Linked DNA regions of Lytechinus pictus. The protein of the gene in region 1 interacts with the protein of each later gene in a pairwise test. Links are inferred from orthologs where the notes say so. Each region holds a gene or a part of one and is shown on either strand. Other genes may lie near its edges. The genes, in order: golgin subfamily A member 2-like, cyclin-H-like and alpha-ketoglutarate-dependent dioxygenase alkB homolog 3-like.

What was found.
Region 2: the proteins of golgin subfamily A member 2-like (region 1) and cyclin-H-like interact in binary tests that used the Homo sapiens proteins (3 or more experiments, as listed by UniProt). The link is inferred for Lytechinus pictus from reciprocal best matches to the Homo sapiens genes GOLGA2 and CCNH.
Region 3: the proteins of golgin subfamily A member 2-like (region 1) and alpha-ketoglutarate-dependent dioxygenase alkB homolog 3-like interact in binary tests that used the Homo sapiens proteins (3 or more experiments, as listed by UniProt). The link is inferred for Lytechinus pictus from reciprocal best matches to the Homo sapiens genes GOLGA2 and ALKBH3.

Annotation. Positions count from the first base shown.
Region 1 is NC_087259.1:22,002,130-22,010,230, forward strand, and holds the start of golgin subfamily A member 2-like, read left to right. Parts: upstream 1-5,050; 5' UTR 5,051-5,070; coding exon 5,071-5,118; intron 5,119-8,101. UniProt on the Homo sapiens protein: Peripheral membrane component of the cis-Golgi stack that acts as a membrane skeleton that maintains the structure of the Golgi apparatus, and as a vesicle thether that facilitates vesicle fusion to the Golgi membrane.
Region 2 is NC_087247.1:17,504,467-17,512,413, forward strand, and holds the start of cyclin-H-like, read left to right. Parts: upstream 1-4,843; 5' UTR 4,844-4,929; coding exon 4,930-5,046; intron 5,047-6,565; coding exon 6,566-6,688; intron 6,689-7,947. UniProt on the Homo sapiens protein: Regulates CDK7, the catalytic subunit of the CDK-activating kinase (CAK) enzymatic complex. CAK activates the cyclin-associated kinases CDK1, CDK2, CDK4 and CDK6 by threonine phosphorylation.
Region 3 is NC_087263.1:2,942,041-2,949,188, reverse strand, and holds the start of alpha-ketoglutarate-dependent dioxygenase alkB homolog 3-like, read right to left. Parts: upstream 3,032-7,148; 5' UTR 2,888-3,031; intron 1,744-2,887; 5' UTR 1,719-1,743; coding exon 1,650-1,718; intron 1,173-1,649; coding exon 967-1,172; intron 56-966; coding exon 8-55; intron 1-7. UniProt on the Homo sapiens protein: Dioxygenase that mediates demethylation of DNA and RNA containing 1-methyladenosine (m1A). Repairs alkylated DNA containing 1-methyladenosine (m1A) and 3-methylcytosine (m3C) by oxidative demethylation. Has a strong preference for single-stranded DNA.

The DNA.
Region 1 (8,101 bases):
TTACGTTTACTTTTTTATGCGATTTTTTGTTTAAAGGCGCCGTCAATACGCTAAAACGCACCCCTCCCCCATTTACCGAAACCTGGATACGCCAATATGCTTCAATGTTTGATGTTTTCCTTGATATATACATTTTTTTAATATATGTGTATGTATCATAAAATATATTTATTTATGTATGACATACATTTTGTAATATTATATGAAATGAATATTACAACAGTTCAAATTATGAAACAGTTACTAAACTGCGTTCAATCTCTCAACAATGCATATTTCCTTTCTTATTAGCGGTGCGTACGTGTACTTACCAATTGAGTAAGATATTTGATATAAGTAATCACAATACAAATAGATGCGACGAAATCACAGAAGGACAGATGAAAGATGAAAATATTTTTGATTTTGCGTAAAGTTTTGAAGCTCAATATGGCACCCATTGAAAGGAGGTTCAAAATCACGCCCAAAACTGACATGAAAAGTGGAATTACCCACGCTAATGTATCCACGATGGCCATATAGGTATGGGCTTCTAAGCTTACTTTGTATCCAGATGAAGGTGTTCGAGAATTTTTTTATTTCATATAAACAGTTGAGAACGAAGAAGCTGGTCATAGATCACCAAGATTTTGCGTATATACTGAATCAATATGAAGACTAGATTAAGTTTATACATGTAGAGAAATTGAAAAAAAAATCAATGAAAAAAGGGGGAAAGGGTGGTCAGGCTCAACGCAGGTAAATCCCATACAAAAGAGGATAATAACGAAAGCAAATCATTGGCTGATGGGAAGCCATTCTTTTCATTTTGATCGCGCATAATTAGCACAGATGGTCACATGATCCCAAATGACCAATTACAGCATGTGCATGACTTTTTTTATGATCGACACGAAATATAATTCTGACCACTCCGCATCATCAACGTCATTACATCATAATCATCATCATCACCGCCGCCACGCCCTTGCCTGCATGTATTTTCGTTCGATGATCCATAAACCACGGTATAATTCGCAAGCTTTTGAAACGAATTCAAATCAAGCTTCAATGGATGATCCAAAGATTTTTTTTTATTTCATCTGCTCATTAATTAACTTTCCTTATATTTCAATTTATGTATTATTTATTCCAGCTAGGCAGATATCCATTAGCGATTGAATTATCTTTATGTTTTCAGGTATAGTACAACATATAAATTCGGCAAATAGAGAAGAAACCTCTTAAAATTAGGATGCAATTCTCCTCTAAACATTTTGCAAGATTTTTTTTTTTTTTTTTTTTTTTTTTGGGGGGGGGCTACCATTACGCCCCTGGATCTATAATGAGTCACGGATGTGAACTTAGTTTTTCCCTATATTATACGTATTTCTGGCCCTTATTCCCAGAGCTCATAAGTATTTGATTCATACTACAGCAGGTCTTGCGGGGGTCTTGGACCTGGTTTTGCTTTCCCGCCAAGTCTGCAAATTAGGTTGTAGGGCTTTATACTCAAGGGAGGTCGGGCATGGGGATGTGCACATTTTGAGAAGGTGGAACTGAGTACAGAATATTAGAACAGATACCACATCATAAAGGAACCTATTCCTGAACGATATTGTGGAGGTATAAGTATATAGATATTTCAAATAACCCACTAGCCTGGAAGAGGAATTGAGTACAGTTGTTTATAAAGTTTAAACAATAGTTGTTAGAGTGACGGGCTTAAACAACATGCTTGAAATTTTAAACAGCGTTTTTTTACAGTATATAGGCCTATACACGGTAAAAAAAATCATACAACGTTGTTTACTATATGAACCTTGCAGCAATTGTTTAAACAGTATAAACAAGTGTTTAAATCTTAAGCAACAAAGTTTAATTTTCAATATCTAATTTTCAATAAATTAAACATGATTGTTTAAACGGTTAAACAAATACTGTAAGGTTCATATAGTAAACAACGTTGTATAAAATCTTTAACAGCGTTTTTACTGTGTACACGACGACTATAAATACGCGCTAGCGATGAAAGTTACAAAGTATACCTCTCAATATAAACTTGTCAATGACATTAGATAGGCTAAGCTTGTTTAGTACAAAATGATATAGATATGGAAGAAACATGCGAATCAAATTATCATGATTATAGGGCCTAATAATCGGTCATGTTTTAATGGTCGATGTATAGGCCTAGGCCTAAATTATACACCCAGAACTGCATAAACGGATTATTCATGTTATTGTCACAATAGGCCTCATTTTACCAACAGCTACAAACTCCTTGACAATGTAATGCAACATGTATAAGAAATTATTATTAGTGTAATTCCAGGTTACTATAGGAGAAAGTCAAAGGTCATTTCAGATATGCAATTTAAATTTGATAATGATTCATGATTTGTTCCGATTAATTGAAAAAAAATGTTTTGTCATATTGTATGAGATGATTATCGGATAATACAATAAGTTTTTAATCAAAGATCATTTGATATTAATGAAATTAGGATTTAACTATATTTAGTAAACAGCAAGGGCGTAAATCCCAGGGGGATGGGGATACATCCCCCACTTTTCGGAGGGGGGGGGGGGTGGCATGTACAATCATCCCCCACTTTTCAAGATGGAAAAAATATTTTTTTTAATCATCAAATGGTTAATACTTCTGTTAACGTGTGGATTCATCTTTAAAGTGCTTAGATTGGCCTACTTAAAAAAATTGCAAAATTTCTCGCGCGGTCGCATGAATCATGGGAGTTTAGTTGTAATATTAAGTCCATTAATGAATATGTGATTCCAATTACCTTTGAATATGATTATAACTTATCATAACGATTCAAAATATATTTTAAATATACACTCTCGTGAATATGGGGCAGGGGCCGCGGAAGCGGGGGGGGGGGGGCTTCAGCCCCCCACTTTCTTCCAAAATCGTGTACAAAAACGTAAAAATTACAATTTTTATGATTGTGATTTTTTGCATGGTCAGCCCCCACTTTTAGCTCAGCCCCCCCCCCCACTTTGAAAACCGTTCCGCGGCCCCTGTGGGGGGGGGGGGGTGGGTCATCTGGTATCTTTGTGGAAGCGGGGGTGTTGTATTTGGCCTACCGTATTCTTCAAGTTAAGTGTACGATGAGTCACCGTACATCAATGCCGTTAACGAAACACTAATCTTTGCTCAAAATATCGAATGTTGCATCATCTCCATATAATCTTAAAGATTATTCAAAATCTTTCCTTTTTTCATATACAATGTCATTGTGATATTACCACTTTTTTAAGATTATATTGTGGCTTGTGATGGCCTATGATCATTTTATATGGCACCCTCATTCCCGATAATAATAATATAATAATAATAATATAGGGTATTTATATTGCGCATGCACATATCCACCTTGTTAGGTGCTCAAGGCGCTCCTATATTACCCGGCTAAGCTATCCGGCTAATCATGATCATATTTTTGTTTTCATTCTCATCTCACTTTAACCAGTGAGCAAATGAGTTTTCATAGAACAAAACTCGACTATTTAGTCCCTATTTGCTCTTTTTATATTTCTTGTTCACATTCTTCTAAAGTTTACGTTATTGATGATACTCTTATCATCATCATTTTAATCGACTGTAGCAACTTTTTAAGGCTCGCAAAGTACGCTCACCGCCGCAATTTCTCTCATAATTACACTCATTGAAAGACGATTTGGTTATCATTCTGTCTTCCAACTATGGAAAATCTGCTCGCTCGCTTCTCTCGCTCGTATTTGGATACTAACTGTAATCCAGTAGTTTCGTCACAACGAATACATTATAGCCATCGAAAAAAAAGACATCGTGATAATAGTCCTTCAAGTGAAAAAATTGTATTATCCATTAATTATCCAGTTATATACTATATACCCCTGTACCGTGAACCCAGTTGGGGCATCATTCTTTCTTCCACCTATTGAAAATTTGCTCAGTCGCTATGCTCACTTGCCGCATTATCCAATAATCACTCCTCATGAAAGACGATTTTGCCGTCATCATGTCTTTCAACTACTGAAAATTTGCCCGCTCGCTCGCATTTGCTGAACTGGACATGTAGTTCGATCAGTAGTAACACAATTCATTACAATTATATAGCCATTGAAAAAAAAATCCGGAAAGGCCTTTAATTGAAAGATTAAAGGAATATGTACACAGTTACTTAGCCCTATATAGGTGTGGGGGTGTCCCCCAAATTTTTAATTTTCTGGTCAATAAGATATTGCTTTCATGCCCCCCCCCCCCCCCATGCTCGGACCGGATTTATACGCCAGTACGTGGTAAACATTTTTTTTAAAGAAACAAATATATATTCACTGTAATGATTGCTGCCATATTGAATCGCATAAGGTGAGACTGGGTGCGATCTTGTTAACCACTGAGGGGGCGGGCGCAATTTTTAAAGGGTGTGCTGGCCAGGCGTGCTGGTTTGCAAAAAAAGAAGAACTTTAAGAAGAAGAACGTAAAAGAGAGAAAAGGAGTTTCACTCCAAAATGCAGGTCGGATTTTGTGAAATTTCTATTTTTAGCATACCAACATGATTTTCAGGGGGTGATGCATACGACAGCACCCCCAGATTTTTTTTTGGGGGGGGGTGCTCTTTTTAGTCTAGATCACAAGTCGCAGCACCCCCGCTTCCCAGGGCCATGCCCTCCTCCGTGCGTCATGCAGAAATTTATCACTTTTCCTTATCTTTTCCAATTCTCTCTTTAGCCTTTTATTTTTATTTTTCTACAAATCAATGAAGAGAATGAACACACATTATTAGGTGTCATGATAATGCGAAGTATACAAATTACTCAGTTGAACTCGAAAAATTGGTTAAATCCATCCCGAAATCCATGATTCGCAGTCATGTTTGGATCATCACAATTCAGATCAGTGCAGATTTTTTTTTTTTTTTTTTTTTGATGCGTTGGATCTTGCATACGTGTCTGCGAAAGGCCGCCTAAAGTGATGAAAAAATAGTTATTGTGTGCGAATGAATCGGTCATGCTACGCACATCTTTACTGTCCAATGACCTTTTTTCATTAATTTACACACTCAACCCTTCAGCACTGCAGATATGGCGGATATTTCTCGAGAAGAAAAGCTCGCAGCTGCGAGGAAAAAGGTAGTTTATATGCTTTTTCTACAATATATCATATCTTTTATGTATTATTCAATGTGTATATATATTGGCAGAAAACTTGTAGACTATTGTTTGCATCTTAATTTTTAAATTTTACGTGTATTTTCTGCTTTAATTTGTGGATGTTTTATTGATTTGTAGAAAGTGGTGAGTGGTCCCACTCATTCGTGTCAGTGTGTTGTTTTCATTTGGACAGCATATTGTAACTGACACAGTGAGCCAGACTGGTTTGGGTGATTCGCCGTTTTTTCGCCGTTTTTTCTCCCTTTTTTCTCCCTTTTTCCCAACAGAAAAACGGCTAGAAAACGGCTAAAAAACGGCGACAAAAAAAGTGTACCGACTATGGAAAGCTAACTGTATGCAACAATGATTTTTATCAGAATAAAATAGTGAATACCTCCCTTCGAGAAAACGGCTACAAAACGGCTAATAAAGGGCGAATACCTCCATTGCGGGAAACGGCTACAAAACGGCTAATAAATGGCGAATACCTTCCTTGTGGAAAACGGCTAATAAAGGGCGAATATCTCCCTTGTGGAAAACGGCTACAAAATGACTAATATAAGGGTGAATACCCCCATCGGTAAAAAAGCCTTCAAAACTGCTAATAAATGACGAAAGGCACAAAAAAGTAATAAAACTAGTAATAAATAGGACTTAACAAGTAAAAATCAGCAAATAATGTTGTACCACACAAGCTGGTGAGTGCATGTACTTGAGACAACTTGGAATAACATTCATACTACCGTAATGAATGGTAGTGGATAATACCGAACAATCTTCAGTTTTTTCAATCATATCAAACCTTTTCTTAAAATTCATCAAAATTCCACCATAAAGTAATCACAAATACCTACTAAAAATAAGAATTTTAAAATGGCTGAAATCGATCGGCCTATATCTGAAAAAAAAATTCTCAGCTTCCGATTTCGCCCCTCTTCGCGTGTGAAATCTTTTGTCACTTGTGGTTCGTATACCAAACACATGTTTTCTGCTGTCATAAGAGAATTAACAAAAATCTATAATTAATTCATTTTCACCGTATTTTGTTATGTTTAGAAAATTGATACTTCATAAATATGATTTATTTTCATCATTTTTTCTTTTGGAAAGATGCTGCAATGTGCTAAATGTATTAAATTATACTGTACTGTATTATTTTCTTTATCTTGCCACTTGTTACGATCGTTTGCGTTTGCGAAGTGGGAATGGCCGCACCCTTTCGAGAAAACCAGGATAGCTTTTCTTGAAAGGGTGGGATGAGGGAAGGGAGTCAAATAAACACACCTTCTCGGGACAACCAGGGGAGCTTTTCACGAAAGGCTGTGTTTAATAGTTTTCTGAGCCAGTTGTTTCTATGAAAATTATTCATCAAATAATAACAACAACAATATAGGCGATTGGTAGAAATGCACATATGGGGGGGGGGGGGCCTGTTACACCCATAAATGTGAAAATCGCTCACAAATGTAATAACACTTTACCCACAAATGTAACAACGCCCAAAAATGTAATAACACTTTACCCACAAATGTAATAATTTAACCCACAAATGTATTAATGCACTTTACCCACAAATGTTATAATTTTTGATCGCCCACAAATGTAATAATGACTTTACCCAAAAATGTAATAAATTTGAAGGGATTTGATCCGTTCTAAACTAAAATCTATAGTAATACGTTGATAAAGCACAAAAGTGCACAAAAGTCTTTTTCCAGACCCGGTTGTTTCAAAAAGTATAATAGTCCAAAGTCTTTTTTCCAGACCCAGTTGTTTCAGAAATTATAATATAAGTCTAGTCTTATTTCCAGAACCGGGTCTGGAAAAAATTATTTGTCCTTTTTATATCATAATTCTTAAAAAGAAAATTTCCTCCTTCTTTATACATTTACACACATAATATGTTTATCAAGAAAAAAAATAATTATGTTATCGTCATCATCATCACGGCCGCCATCAAAATCATTACCACCACCATCATTCTCGTCCTCTTCTTCCTCTTTATCCCCCTTCATTATCACCACTATCATTATTTAATTACATCACAAATACACTATCATCCTCGATTATCATTCCGTTTTAACAAACGCTGACTATTGTAGTAGGTCCGTGATTGGACAATGTGGTTTGGGGGATTCATCCGGGTTGAAGAAACACAACGAGAGATCACAAGTGATCATTGCGTAACTTAAATTGAAACAGATTCTTCTTATTGTTAGGTGTTCACTGCAATCTTCACACCTTCCATTGTTCACAAAACGTGCGAGACGGTGTAATTAATTGACCCCATTGAAGTCGCAACAGCTAGGGCATTCACTCCAAAGCTTCTGTTATACATTTTAAAAGTTATCTTTCCTATAAAACGAAGTAGCTCAAGTGCATTGGGGTCTTTAACACTATAAAACACAGTTTTGATCAATATACCAACGAGATCGAACCAGCTCATGACATCATGGAGGCTGATGTATGCCTCCCCAAGAATTAGAGGCCGTTCTCATTACGCTTTCTAAACTAGTTTACTGGAAACCGATTCAGGAAACCACTTTGGAAGATCGCTTTGCTAGCGTTCCCACTTGATCACACGAAAGTGGTTTTCAATATCACTTCACTTTTAAAAAGCGCTCTTGTTGCTATGGTAACGCTCTCAGTGGGGTGACACGTTTCGCGCGAAATTCGAAACCGCAGCATAGGCATTCTACACCTGTCGTGTGGAGTAGCGTGCTCAAAATGTGCGAAGATCGCTTCCCGAAGAACGGTTGTGTCCTCACTTACGCTAAAACCAGTTAAACGAGGCAAAGCGATCTTAAAAACTACATCGCGAGGTGGTTTTCCAAACTGGTTTGGAAGATCGCTTCCAAGACCGCTTTGACCGTTCTCACTACGCGTTAAACTAGTTTCCACTAAACTAGTTTCCAGTAAACTAGTTTTAGGAACGTAGTGAGAACAGCCTCTTAAAGTATAT
Region 2 (7,947 bases), on another chromosome or scaffold:
GAAAGAAAGAATGAAGGGGGAAAAAGGAATGAAAGAAAATAAATAATAAAAGACAGAAAGGGATGAGAGTAATGGATAAGAAAGAAAGAAAGAAAGAAGGAAGGAAGGAAGGGAAGAAGGAATAAAAGAAAGGAAGGAAAGAATGAAGGAAAAAAAGAAAAACAAAGGGAGACAGAAGGAAAGAAACAAAAATAAAGTAAATAAAAAAAATAAAAGGATAGGAAGGGGGATGAAGGAAGGAAAAAATGTTTCCTTCATTATTTGAAGGAAAGAAAATTAAAGAAGTCAGGAAAGGATGAAAGTAATGAAAAAGAAAGATGGAAGGAAAAAAAAAGGAATGCAATAAAAACAAAGGAAAGGCAGAGAAAATAAGGGAAAGAAAGAATGAAAGAAAAAAGAAGGGAAAGAAAGAGGAATGAAAAAAAGGAAGGCAGGATGACAGAAATAGTGAAAGAAAAGAAGGAAATAAAGGAAGGAAAGAATAGAGGAGGCAAGAATAAATGTAGGAAGGAAGGAAAGAAGAAAGGAATGAAAGAAAGAACAAAAGGAGAGAAAGAGAGAATGAACTTGAATGCAAGCATAGAAAAAAAGAAAAGCAAGAAAAAGATGGGGAAAAAAGGACATATAGAAATAAAGAAAATAAATGGAAACAGAGGGAGAAAGGAAGGAAAAAAAGTTAGGATATATGGAAAAAAAGATAGATGGAACAAAAAAGGCATGAAGTAATATAGAAGAAAGGATGAAGAAAGAAGGAAAAAAAAGAAAGAGAGGAAGCTCAAACTTGAAACAAACACCGGGACCCCCAAAAATCAATCGTCTAAAATTCTACTGATATTTGTTCTCCATTAAATATTCTGAAAATATATTTTCGAAATGGTTAGAATAGGGTTGCAAAGGGATGGAAACTTTCCGGAAATTTGGAACATTTCCATGGAAAGTTTCAGGAATTTTCAGCTGCCGGGAATTTCAGGAATTTTAATTTTTTCACAAAAAGTGATAAATTCTGTTTTTATTTAAATACAAAATTATAAATAGATATCCTCAAATACTATACTTTTCATTTGTATTTAAACTATTCTTCATTCTATAAATTGCCTAGGGTATAGAATATTCATCAAACTGTACATAAATACATAGTACGTGTATATGTATCCAGTAACATGATGGAGCATTATGTACAAAATGAAGATTTTCAATTCAACATGAAAAAAATAACACTTTGCATTACACCATTTTTCATTTTTGTCTCGCCTGCATAACAGAGCAAGACTATAGGCGCCGCTTTTCCGACGGCGGCGGTGTCGTCAACATTGAAATCTTAACCAAGGTTAAGTTTTTGAAATGTCATAACTTAAAAAGTTTATGGACCTAGTTCATGAAACTTGGACATAAGGTTATTCAAGTATTACTGAATATCCTGCCTGAGTTTAAGGTCACATGACCAAGGTCAAAGGTCATTTAGGGTCAATGAACTTGGACCAAGTTGGGGTATTTATTGAATTACCATCATAACTTCGAAAGTTTATGGATCTGGGGTGGTATTCTGAAAATGTTCTTATCTTTGTTCTTATCTTTTATCTTATCTCATTGAGATGTATGTATTTTTGTATTTTAAAGAGGTGTGAAATAAATGAATCTGAATCTGAAATCTGAGATAAGAAGACGCTAAAATCATTGCAAATCGGTATTCTGAAAATCTTCTTAACGCGTTCTTATCTCTGTAAGGACTGCCTCCTTCTTATCTTCAACACGCCCATTTTTTAGGATATTACCAATCAAAATGCGCTTTATATTGTCAGTTTAACCAATAGAAGCGTTCCTTATGTCAAGAGAATATCATGGGCACTGCGCGAACACTGTTTCTGGCGCATTGCGTGAAATAGGCATTTTATACGCAATGACTGATTATTATTTTGAGACATGTGCACAATAAGGAAAGAAAGAAAGAAAGAAAGAAAGAAAGAAAGAAAGGAAGGGAGGGAGGGAGGGAGGGAGGGAGGGAGGAAGGAAGGAAGGAAGGAAGGAAGGAAGGAAGGAAGGAAGGAAGGAAGGAAGGAAGGAAGGAAGGAAGGAAGGAAGGAAGGAAGGAAGGAAGAAAGAAAGTAAGTAAAGAAAAAAAGTAAATAAAGCAGGTACGAATAAAGAATAAAACAGGAAGAAAGAAAGTAAGTAGGTAAGAAAGGAGACAGAAAAGGGTCAGAATGAAGCAGAAATAAAAAAAATGAAAGGAACAAAGCAGAAAATAATGAAAGAGTACAAACGAAAGAAAGCAAGCAAAAAGAACTTAAATGAAGAAAAGGAAAGAAAGAAACTTAAAGGAAAAAACGAAAAAGGACCAAAAAAAGATTAAAAGGATAAAATGAAGGAATAAAGAACTGAAAAAACAGGAAAAACGAGTGAAAGAAAAAAAAGAAAGAGAAAAAGAAGGAATAAAAACATGTAAAAGGTGAAGGAAGAGAGAAAAAAGGAAAATGAAACAATGAAAGAGAAATTAAAGCAAAAATAAAGACTAAAGAAAGAAATCGAAAGAAAGGTTAATTCAAAGAAAGAAAGAAAAAGAACGAAAAGGGAAAATAAAAAAGGAAGAAAGATGAAGAATACATGAAACAAAGTAACATAAGAATAAGGAAGAGATTAAAAAATTCAAAAGAATAAAGCAAAAGATATAAATGAAGAATAAAAGAAAGGAAGATAGACAGATAGAAAGGAAGAAAAAGTGAAAATAGATAAAGAAAGACAAAAGGATAGAAAAAAAAGGTGAAAAACAAAATAAAGGGTGGATAAAAGAAAGGATGGAAAGAATACATGTTATTACCAGTGGCCATCTTTTTTTAGCAAGAAAGAACGCGAACATCGTGAGATGTGATAACCCTCTAGCTATCTTAAATATTATCATAAATATCGTAAAAGATAAGAACGTTTTCAGAATACCACTTATCTTTATTTTGTTCTTATCTTTTTAGTGCGCTTTTGTATTATGCGCGTGTAACAAATTTACGCGCTCAGCATAGGATGGAAAGCAAGATAAGAAAAAGATAAGAACAAAAGATAAGAACGTTTTCAGAATACCAATTTGAGAACGTGACGTAGATAAGAACAAAATTAAGATAAGAACGTTTTCAGAATACCGCCCCTGATTCATAAAACTTGGACATAATAGTAATCAAGTGCGTGAGGAGCCTGACTCTGAGCTCACCAATTTCAGTTTCATCTGCTTCTCCTTCCCTAACTAAAGTCAAAGAATTATCACTACCATTATATTTCATGTATGTAAATTCACTTCAATATATTTTTAATTCTTATGTGCAGCACTTAAATGACAAAATACGGTTAATTCTGCTATCTATGTCGCAAATTTAAACCTTCAATTTCTTATGAGATTGAATTATCATGTCTAACTGAACTACTAGTTTATCTCCCACATGTGGTATTTTCAAAGCATTGTCTCTCAAGAATTCATCAATGACAAAAAAGGAACAAAAGCTTTTGGGAATTTGAATAAACCACACAAATCATTGAACTAAACTCTTTATATACCAGTTGTTGTAACGATCTAAAAATGAGCTCAAACTTTATCAAGTATTACCACCCAAGTGTTTGTATGTATAACTAAAACATGTGGCAAATGGCTCTGGATAAAAATGTCTAATTGATGAGAAATGGGTAAAATAAGCACAAAATTCGATCAAATGTGAGTATTTTTCCAAGCAATATTACACTGTCCCAATATGCTTTTTATGCCCCCGCAGACGAAGTCTGGAGGGGGCATTAAGCGTTGCCCCTGTCCGTCCGTCCGTCCCCCCACTTGGTTTCCACGCAATAAATCGAAAAATATTTTTCCTGTGCAATAACTCAAAAAATATTCAAATGAATTTAACAATTTTTGTTGTGTAGGTAGATGACACCAAAATACAGGCTAAGTTCGAAATTGGAGTCCGCAGGTCAAAGGTCACAGCTTATTAAATATGGAATTGGTTTCCGCGCTATAACTCTAAAAATATTAAATGGATTTAAAAAAATTTTGGTGTGTAGGTAGATGACATCAAAATACAGGCTAAGTTTGAATTGGAGTCTGCAGGTCAAAGGTCACAGCTCATAAAATATGCAAATTGGTTTCTGCGCACAAACTCGAAAAAATATTTGATGGATTTTAAACATTTTTGGTGTGTAGGTAGATGACACCAAAATACAGGCTAAGTTCAAATTCGGAGTCCGCAGGTCAAAGGTCACAGCTCATTATATATGCGAGATGGTTTCAAAGGTCTAAATTTGTTCATATGCATATTGGTTTCTGCACGATATTAAGTTCAATCATATTGAATGAATTTCTGATCGCGTTAAGTGGGGGCATCTGTGTCCTTGGGACACGTCAAATTTCTAGTCTGTGTTAGTGATCATCAGAATTGTCGGTTTTGAGCTAAGATTTCATGATATCATAAAGATAAGTTTACTTTATTGTACAAGATCTACTGTAGATAAATGATAATATGGTGACAATTAAACTTGATTTTAAATACATTTTCATGAAATATTTTTTCCTGCAACTATTTTCTTTTACCTGTATGGTAAATGTCTACAAGTATCACAAGAAATGAAAAAAACATTGAATTCTAAATCACACAATTATTGAAGTTGGAAGTAGGATTAGCTTGTTGCACCAGACTTTCCCCTCCTAAATTGTGGATTTATATACATGTACATAATGTCTAGCTGAATCTAGTTTGACACAAATGAAAATCATTTTATCATTTTGGTAATTGGTTTTTCCACTCACTGAGTGCGATTGAAATGGGAGGGGAAAATAATTTCATTGGTTGCTATCTAGTTCTTTCTTCATCCCTCTCTCTCTTTCTTTATGTTTTGCGCTCTATCAGTCTTATCCAGGCAAGTCGTCTTTTTTATCAGGATTTATTTGAAGTTAGGGAGAAGATGTATCATAACAGCACTCAACTGAGAGCATGGACATTCTCATCCCAGGAAGAACTGAACGAGAAACGGTCGGCTTCCAACCAAAGGTACAGGGAGGAACATCAATCCAAATCTCAGGTGAGACTTGTCACAAATACATCACAAGGTGAAATGAATTTAACATACATGGAGTTGGGGTGAATTACATAGTACAGACCAACCTCTCTTATCCGGACACGTTGGGACTTGGGACCAGCACCAATCCAGATAAGGGATTTATCCGGATCTGGGAATCTTAATATTAAATACACTGAACTGCCTTCCTTATGGTAGCTACACATAATCTATTGTAGTGGGCGTACACAGGCAAGTATTCCCTGCAGTGTCATTGCAAATTATAGGTGTTTTTTACGGAAATGAAACTCATTGGTCACCAAAACTCATGGATGATTTACCTGCTGAAATTATTGAGGTATACATCGAGCATACCTTGAAAGAAAGAGAATGACTCGATGAAACTAAGTTTTAAAACTGGATCATCGTGGCGAGCATCACAGCTTTGCAAAGCCAGCCATTGTTATGACTGTAGGCTCAAACATGATAGATGGCACTGTCTGTATCGAGGCCTATAGCGCTAGCTAGTGAGAAGTGTTGTTTTTTCTGAAAAAAAGAGAATGTGATAAAATGGTTGCGCTGTGCCCTGTTTTACTGGAAATTTATCCTGTTTAAGTTCTTTCGGTGATTTGGGTAAGATATTTTCATTAAAAAATAATGTGGTTGTAGGTAGACTATATTGGAAAATGTATGTAATCAAAGTGAGTTTGCGTAGGAATTTTGAGTTTAGATTGAAAGCTCATTCCCCCTCGTACGAGATTGAAAAAAAAAAAAAAAATCTCAGCAAGTGTGCATCCGAATAATATTGAGATTCGGATAAGGGGAGGCTGGATAAGAGAGGTCAGACTGTAGTTCATTATTTAATATTGTTTTCTTGGGCGTTAATGACAGTCGGCGGATCCAGGTGGGGGGGGGGGCACATCCGGCCCTTGACTCCTTTTGAGAGTCATAGCCAATATTTTTTATTTAATATGTTCATACACAAGTGTGCCCCCCTTAAGAGGCACAGCAAATATTTTAATGGGAATATGTATGTCATTCATTCAAAAGTGAGGACCTTTTTTTTTGGGGGGGTGTCAAATTTTATGAGGGAAAAGTGATTTTATATTTTTGTGAAAGCCTGGCATTTATTTTGCCTGCTTGTCACATTTTCCAAGGAAAAATGTGCCCCCCCCCTTTGGAAAATCCTGGATCTGCCCCTTATGACAATCCTTGATGTTTTTTTCTTTTACTGCATCAAAGCTCGGGTAAACCTTTGGGGAATATTGCGAATTGTATCATATAACATTCTAATCTAAGAAAACTGCAGCGATTATTATTTTTATCCATTGGATGTTTCTTTGTGAAAATTGGAATTTAACATTTGAGAATGTGTAGTTCCCTCTGTAAATTTTAATATATTTCTTAATCAACAGGTCCTTTGGATGCTAACAAACAAACTCAAGAAACAATGATATAGATTTATACATTTTCAGACCATTCTGTGCCTGAAAAATGGATGGAGAAATAAGCAGTTTTAATTACCTTTACACACTCTTTGCAGGGTAAAGATCCAACCACTTTCTTCTTGAGTGAAGGAGAGGAGAGGACACTTTGTGAATCGTATGAGTTTCTTCTTCGAGACTTTTGTAAGAAGTTTCAACCCCCTGTGCCTCCTGCTGTGGTGGTAAGCAATATTAAGTGTTTTGAGAAACATTTCAATTAATATATATACTTCTGCTTTTAACCCTGTTCATATAGCTGCTTATCTGTAAAAAGCCAACGATGTGGTTTTGATGTATGAACAATCATTTAGTTTTAGCTTTTCAGGACTATTTCATATTCTTGTCATAGTTAATGCATGAATTTATAGTATAAATGACAGGAACTTGTTCGTTTGGGTAGAAAGGATATTTTGCGCATAGTAAACTTTGAACATGATAAGTTTGTGAATACTCTTCTTCTGTAAACAGTACAGGCCACCGTCTGGTGTATTGTTGTACTGGTGAAGTGCAGAGTGCAAGTGTATGTACATCATTCGATAAAAAATTGCTTACAGCGTGCAAGTAATAACAAGTACCGGTACTCTCTGCTGTGCCCTTCACCGCATGGATTCTGTGAAGTGTGTACTTCAACAGTGCCTTAATAAATGCTGGTAGTATAGTAAACAATTATATTAGTAGACGGCGAGGGACATTGGATTGGAATAGATTTAGATTGATCCAACAATTTCTTTTCCAAATGTTATTTTTTAAAACAACAAATAAAAACAACAAGTGCTAAATGATTGTAGAAAAATGATGCCCAGTAATAATAATTTGTAATTTATCTTTTCCCAGACGTCAAATTTATTATTATTATGTAAATATTTCTGAAATACATCTTATAATCTTTACTTGCCAAGATACTCGCTGAATATTCTTTTTATACGCCTTACACCTATTATATGTCTCTTTTCATGTGAATTTTTTATTGCAAATGTATTAAATTGTTATATTTGTAATTTCAATATATTTTATACTTGGTTGTATTGACTTGTATGATATATTTTATTTTGAGTTACCTATGTGATTTGATCTTGCCATTCCGCTGTATTTGTTATTTTATTTGTAAATGTGTATATTCTATTCATCTTGGCTATACTCTTGTCTATTTGAATTTGTGTGCATTTTCTGTAGTCAAAAGTTACTATAGATTTATGATAATATGATGAAGATTTATGATGTTGTGATGAAGACAATATGATGGAGATTGAATGGAAATACGATCTTATGAAATCACTGATCATTGTGACTACTTGAGTTTGGAAGAAAAAAAATGATTCAACATGTATGTTTTGCTGTTTGCTACTGACGAAGTCTGGAAGGAGCATGTAGCATTTCACCTAATCTATAATTTGCCTCACATGGCTGATAAATGATAACAATTGGTTAGATTTTCTTTCAT
Region 3 (7,148 bases), on another chromosome or scaffold:
ATCTTACCTAGCCTCCCCTCCAGGTTCCACACTGATCACATAAGACCCATCTTTCCTGCAAAATAAAAAAACAAAAGTATTTTACAGCAAAAAATTGGAAGGCTTTTTCTTGAATAACTTCTCTTCTCTGTCAGCAAGTGTGCTTAACTATGAATAGGCAAACACTATCTAGATGCTACATAGGCCTGTTCAAATCAGCAAGTAAACTTTTTTTTCACCGAAATTTCATGATCTTTTCCTTTCACATATCTGTATTGCACATATACACTTTTTTTTACCTTTATTCATAATAATGAATAGTTGCCAAGTTATTTAGGTTAAAAAACAATGGTTATCTGTTTTGTTTTAATGGGCTACTTGTATATTAAACATTTTGGAAAAAAAGAGAAGAACAAAGTTTGAGATTGCCAAAATATTTCCTAATTTCTCAACATACTCATACAATATAAAAGAAAAAACCCTCAAGTAGATGTTTTGATCTCATATCATCCACACAATAACAGCTTTAGGACACAAAAACTCATCTAATGTACGAGTAGTAATGACCTGGAAGGTGTTTCACAAAAATTTCATTATGAATTAGAGTAGCACTTAAATTTAGTTGCTTGTAGTACACAGCGCATCACCGCATTGGCCAGATCGTGCTCAGGAGACACGCACAAACGCGTATTCATCATGTGTGCGTTGGCGTTTAGGCATGACTCTAAGTCACACTTAAATCTTTGTGAAACACCCCCTGGGGGCCGTTTCATAAAGCTGTTCGTAAGTTAAGAGCGACTGTAAGAAAGACTGGTGAACATTCCTAAATCATCCCCAATGAATATACCATTGACCACAAGAAAGGATCACAAGTCGTTCTTAAAGTCGCTCTTAACTCAAAAACGGATTTATGAAACACCCACCAGGACTAGTTTCCGATACTTTTTGAAGGATTTACCAAAACTTAAGGGTGGTTTAAACACTTACACAATCTCCTTTGGTTCAGGAATTCTTCTTATCGGACCTGTCTCTGTAAATGTCAGTGTCTGCGGCAGACAATCTGATTGGCCCTTTGTTGTAGGAGATGTTGTAGTCTCTGGGGTCTTACTTGTCATGGACACTGCATTGGGGTTGGGACCTGGTCTAGATGGAGGCTTTGATCCAGGGCCTGGACCAGTAGGCCTACCTCTGGCCTGTAAACACACACATAAAACAAAACAAAAAAAACATCATTAATTATCATCATCACCATCAATTATCATCATCGTCACCATCATCATAATCATAATCACCACCATCATCATCATCACCATCATAACCATCATCATCACCACTACCACTACCACCACCACCACCATCATTATCATCATCATCATCATCATCATTGATCATCAGTATATCACCACCACCACCACCATCATCATAATCATCATCTCCACCACCACCACCATCATCATCACCATCATAACCATCATCATCACCACTACCACCACCACCATCATCTCCACGACCACCACCATCATTATCATCATCATCATCATTGATCATCATCACCACCACCATCATCATAATCCTCATCTCCACCACCACCACCAACACCACCACCACCACCATTATCATCATCATCATCATCATCATCACCAATCCAATCATTAACATTATTTTATCACCTTTCCTTTGGATGGTGGGGCAGCCCATGATCCTTGTATTCTTGCTCTCTGTCTCTTGTTATCGGCCATTTTATCAAGCTGTATGCAGGGCTACCTGATTACAACAAAATGTTATTGATTTGACTGGATGTTGAAATGTAATTAATTAACTCTGCTTGTACTAGTATAAAAATACTTGAACTTAGCCTTAGGAATAGTTACAGACCCAGTCAGCAATCTTTGAGCATAGTTTACACTCGATTTTACACTCGAGCAAGAACAAAAAAAATGGTCCAGTGAATATATTGTTCTATTGTTCTGGCTTGGTCACTCTATTGTTCTGGACCCGAGTGTAAACTATGCTCAAAGATTGCTGACTGCCACTGTATTCATTTTAACAATATATACAGCACAATGAAAAATTATCATAAATAATATAATTGCTGAGATACGTTTCATTTCAAGGCAAGGAGTTTAATATCGAGACAAAACCAAAGTGATTTCACTTTCTAGTGTACGTGGAAATGGAGGGGGATGATGAGACATGATATGCCTGTAGTACTGTTTACCCAGTTGTTGTGTCTGGACGTGGACGATCAATTTTTGAGTCATTTGGAAAAATTTACAAGCGAAGTTTCATCAGTTTTTAGACTTTTTTAGTACAAAATCAAAATGTTAGGAAATATTAATTATACTATTTATAGAGAACAAAAAAGAAGATGATTGCAACTATTGAATTCATATTTTAGTTTAATCCAAAGTCCGACAAAGTCAATGAAAAAAGAAGAAAAAAAGAAGGCTTCAAAAATATAAAGAAAGTGTCCAGACACCCGACCCCCCCCCCCCCCCCCCCCCCCCCCGACCAAGCCAGGCCAATCTATGTAATGTAGTTTTCATTCTCAATAAACTATTAATAAATATAGATCTAGGACAACTTCCCATTTAAATCAATGTTATAATATGAAAGGGATCCTATCAGTATCACTCACACGACTAAAACAGCGAGGATTGTATCAAAGGTGACTCAGTGATGCCATCCTGATTACCGGCGCGTGCAATCCATTACACATGCAAAGGAATACGCTTAATCACGATTCCATGATACTTGTGCACGAATTGTACGTATTGGTAATATCCAAATGCAGCACATCTACAGGGAGGAACTTAGGTAATCGTTTTCGAGCTATTTAAACTCCAAGTTAGTTGACGTTATTCAACTATCACTATCACGAATATACTGTATGAATTCATGGGCTTACCTTTCAGTATAATACAACACTTAACTAAAGATGGTAACCTTGGGATTAAGTAAATAGCATAAAAAAATGCAAAGATTAAGAAGCAAAATAAATTCGTTCAGCTGAAGTAATGTTTACGAAACATATCTAGCCTTACTTCAAGATGAAAATGCAGTTTGTTTACAAAGGAATTAAAAAAAATCTAAATGGATAAACAGGCAACCTAAAAATGTACCGGTACCTCTACAATTTTTCCTGTCAGTTTAAGTTAAATCTTTTCAGTATCAAACTTAAATTTCTTTATTTTGTGTTTGTGTATGAATGCATGGCCATTATACTACTTTATTACTAGAATAATATGTCATTTTATTCTATTAAACTTTGAATGAAACATTAATTTTACTTTCTAAAATGAATATCGTCTCTCGTGTTGAATCTTTTTTTAATTCGATTTTAAATGACAAATATATTTGTCATTTAAATATATTACTCCATTATAATGAAGTAATCATAATTTGCAAGGTTTTTTGCGATAGGGCCTACATGGCTACTAAATGAATGATGAATGAATGAGCGAATAAATAGACGGATGAATGAATGAATGGATTAATGAATGAATGAATGAACGAGTGAATGATAAATGGATGAATGAAAAAATGAGTAAATGAATGGATGAACGAACTAATAAATGGATGGAATCAATGAATGAATGAATAAATAAATTGATAAATGAATGAATGAACGAATAAATTGATGGATGAATGAATTAATGAACGAATAAATGGATGAATGAATGGATGGATGAGGGAATGAATGAATTTATTCAAAACCAAACATATAACATAATACATGATCACTGTATATTTACACAAGTTTATAATACAATGAATAGATTTTAGGACCCCGAGGCGCTTGTGAGAAGGGCCCGTGTTCAAATTAAGATTTTGGGCTCAATCATACCAGAAGAAACAAGCACCAAATCTGGAAATCGGTGGCACCATGGGCAAATGCTAATGCCAACTGACAAATACAATACTAGTAATAACGATCATTATTATTGTGGCAAATTGGGCGATCATAATGTATCAGTCAGGAATACCATGGACATGAAGCCCAAATACCATACAAGTTCATCAGGCATATTATGTGAGACAAATAGTTATTATAAAAAAAATCCTCGAAATTTGATTGTCCCCAATCAAGTTTTCTGTTATTTTTTTTTCATACTATACGGAGCAAATTCACTATCAGCCACTAGCGTACCTACGGGGGGGGGGGGGGGGGGGCAGGGGGGGGCACTCTGCCCCCCCCCCCCCTGACGAGCCACAACCCATGCAAAAACGTATCTTTGCCCCCCCTGACGGGCTTGAAAAACCTTTTTTGCCCCCCTGACGAGCTTTAAGACCTTCAATGCCCCCCTGACGAGCTTGAAGACCTTTTTTTTTTTTTTTTTTTTTTTTTTGCTTGTCAATTTTTTTCTGGTACGAAATCCTTTATTTGTGATCGAAGACCTTTTTTTTTTTTTTTTTTTTTTTTGCTTGTCAAATTTTTTTGCGGACGGTTTTGCCCCCCCTGTGGAAAATCCTAGGTACGCCACTGCTATCAGCCCTTTCACATGGTAAAAGAAATCGTAATTTGAATGATGATTCCAGTGAAAAAAAAGGCGAATGACGAATTTTTAGCACGTGTGAAACCAAACTAGAACATGATAAGAATCACGCACGCCTGCAATCATCATTACAATGATGGTTCAAGATTCACGTGTGAAAAGGCCCTATGACTTTATTGAAACAAATAAGGGGGAAGGTAGAGAAAGGAGGGGGAACTTCCATAAAAGAATGCACACACGAGAAAAAAACGAGTAACATAAGGGAATGATAATTAATAAGAGAAACGACACCAAAAAGAAAATTAATGAAAGGAGAGCTGAAAACAGTGAAAGAAAAAAAAAGCGAGGACCAACTTTGTTCGAAAAAAAAAAATTCCCTTTCTTTAATTGCAGGAACCAAAAGAGGGGGCGGGACGGAAATATAGGAAGGGAAAGTAGATTCTGGGAGAAATAATTTTAAAAAAAAGTAATACAAAATGGAATAAAAAAAATAAAAATAAGAAGAAAGGTTAATGAGCCTCCAGGGTACATAGGGTCTTTGTACTTCATGCATGATACCTCACAATGACCATGTTAATATGTATACCATATGTTATCGTATTGTTTATAATATAGTATAGGCGTACCGCTCGGGGTGAGAACACGGTTACGCCAACAGCGCGATTCAGTAGTTTACGCTTATCACTTAAAAAGTTTTGGAAATGAATACTGTGTTTGAACTCTCATAAATTCTATAATTCTTTCATTTTTTCTTGTGCGCCTCTGCAACTTTCAATCATTTCAGGAGTCGCTATAGGCCTACATCAGTGGCAGATCCAGGGGAATCCAGCCCGTGCCCCCCCCCCCCTTCTGAGGGGCACCAAAAATAATTTTTATTGTAATAAAATTATGTCATGCATTAGCAAGTGAGGACCCTTTCTTTTACTATTTTTTTTTGCTTGTCAATTTAATGAGCTCGATTTGGCAGCGAAGACCTTACTTTTGGTTGTCATAATTTTCTTGAAGAATACAATGCACCCCCCGAAAAATCCTGTATCCGCCCCTGCGCTATATACATGAATGCGGCATGATATTAAAAATACCATTAGGGCGATGACACAATAAATGGACTGCAAAATGTTAATTCCTTTCATTCCACAACTCAGTCAAGATTAATTTCTGTATTTTAGTTATCTTCTAGTTTCCAAGATGATTATTACAAGAATGAAAGTAATGTTTTTTTATTTTTTATTCTAATGTTTGCTGTTTTAGAGATATTGGTCTAACACTAGTCTACAATTGTAGACCCACATCTGCAGTGTGTGTATCACAGCTGATTCAAGGAGTCTGCATAGCAGACTAGGTCTCTGAAATGGCTCGCTTCGCTCGCCCTTTCAGGCTGGTTTGCTTCGCAAACCAGCTGCAGATCCCACTTCACGAGCCATTCAGAGTCTGCATAGCAGACTAGTCTAACACTGTGATGAAAAGATTATGGGAAGCCAAAAATGTCAAAATTTTGTTCACATTTTAATATGTTTCTTATGCTCAGTTTTCTTCTTCGTCATGCTACAATGACGAATAAACCCATGTTATTATTCCCAGAAAGTTCAGAATTACCTAAGTAACATATGAGATGATGAATCGAACATGTACTGTTGTGTCACAAAACACAACTTTAGAAAATATTTTAAATATTTAAACCCGAGCTCAGAACGGGACATTGAGTGCACAAACTTTTTGACATTTTACATTTTAATAAACATGATTAATCTGTTCTGTTGTTTATTATTTGCCATCTGGTGGTAGCTGTGTCATTGAAGATCTTTTCTCCCGTGAGTTTCATTCCAGCAGTTCGCGCAGCATGACTGCGTAGCATGAATTTAATTATTTTATGATGTACAATAATAAAGACATTAATGTTGGAAATGAAGGTCAACGTATTTTTTTCTTGCACTTTATATAGCACCCTGTTTGAGATAAAGATTCTCAAGTGGTTCTAAAAGTATAAATAGGTGAACATGACGAAGGCCGAAACCAAAGATTACATCGATCATTGCAGATTTGTGCATCTCTTTACTTGGTGAGTATAAATGCTGCTCCGAAGTATTTTGAATATTAAACAAGCATAGATAATAACTAGATTACTAATACTTGCTTCTAATCGTGATCATTATACTAAAATTTATATCTGGATTTAGGATTTTATTGTTGTTTTAATGCAAATCTAAGCATACTAAGTATATTTATTGAGAAATTTTGGGAGCTTGCGATTGCTTGACCGGTAAGTGATCGAGGACCGTCAGCTGCCCCTTTCCGACTGCCTACCCTGGCAACTTGTATTTTGTATTATGTTTACCAGGGGCCGCGGAAACGGGGGGGGGGGGGGGGGGCTTCAGTCCCCCACTTTTTTCCGAAACATTGTACAAAAACATAAAAAATTACCATATATTTTTTGAATGGTCAGCCCTCCCCCACTTTGAAAACCGTTCCGCGGCCCCTGTTTACCGACTTTAATAAATGACTTCTATTCATGGGCTTGATGGGGGGGGGGGGGGGTGGAAACAACTGAGGGACGTTTCCAAGGGACAGTGGGGGGGGGGGGTGACCGAAGTGCCCCTGCTAACAACCATTTCATGACTCACAGTAATTTTCCAAGGACCCAATCTTATTAGCTCAGAGTGGTGGTCTAGATGT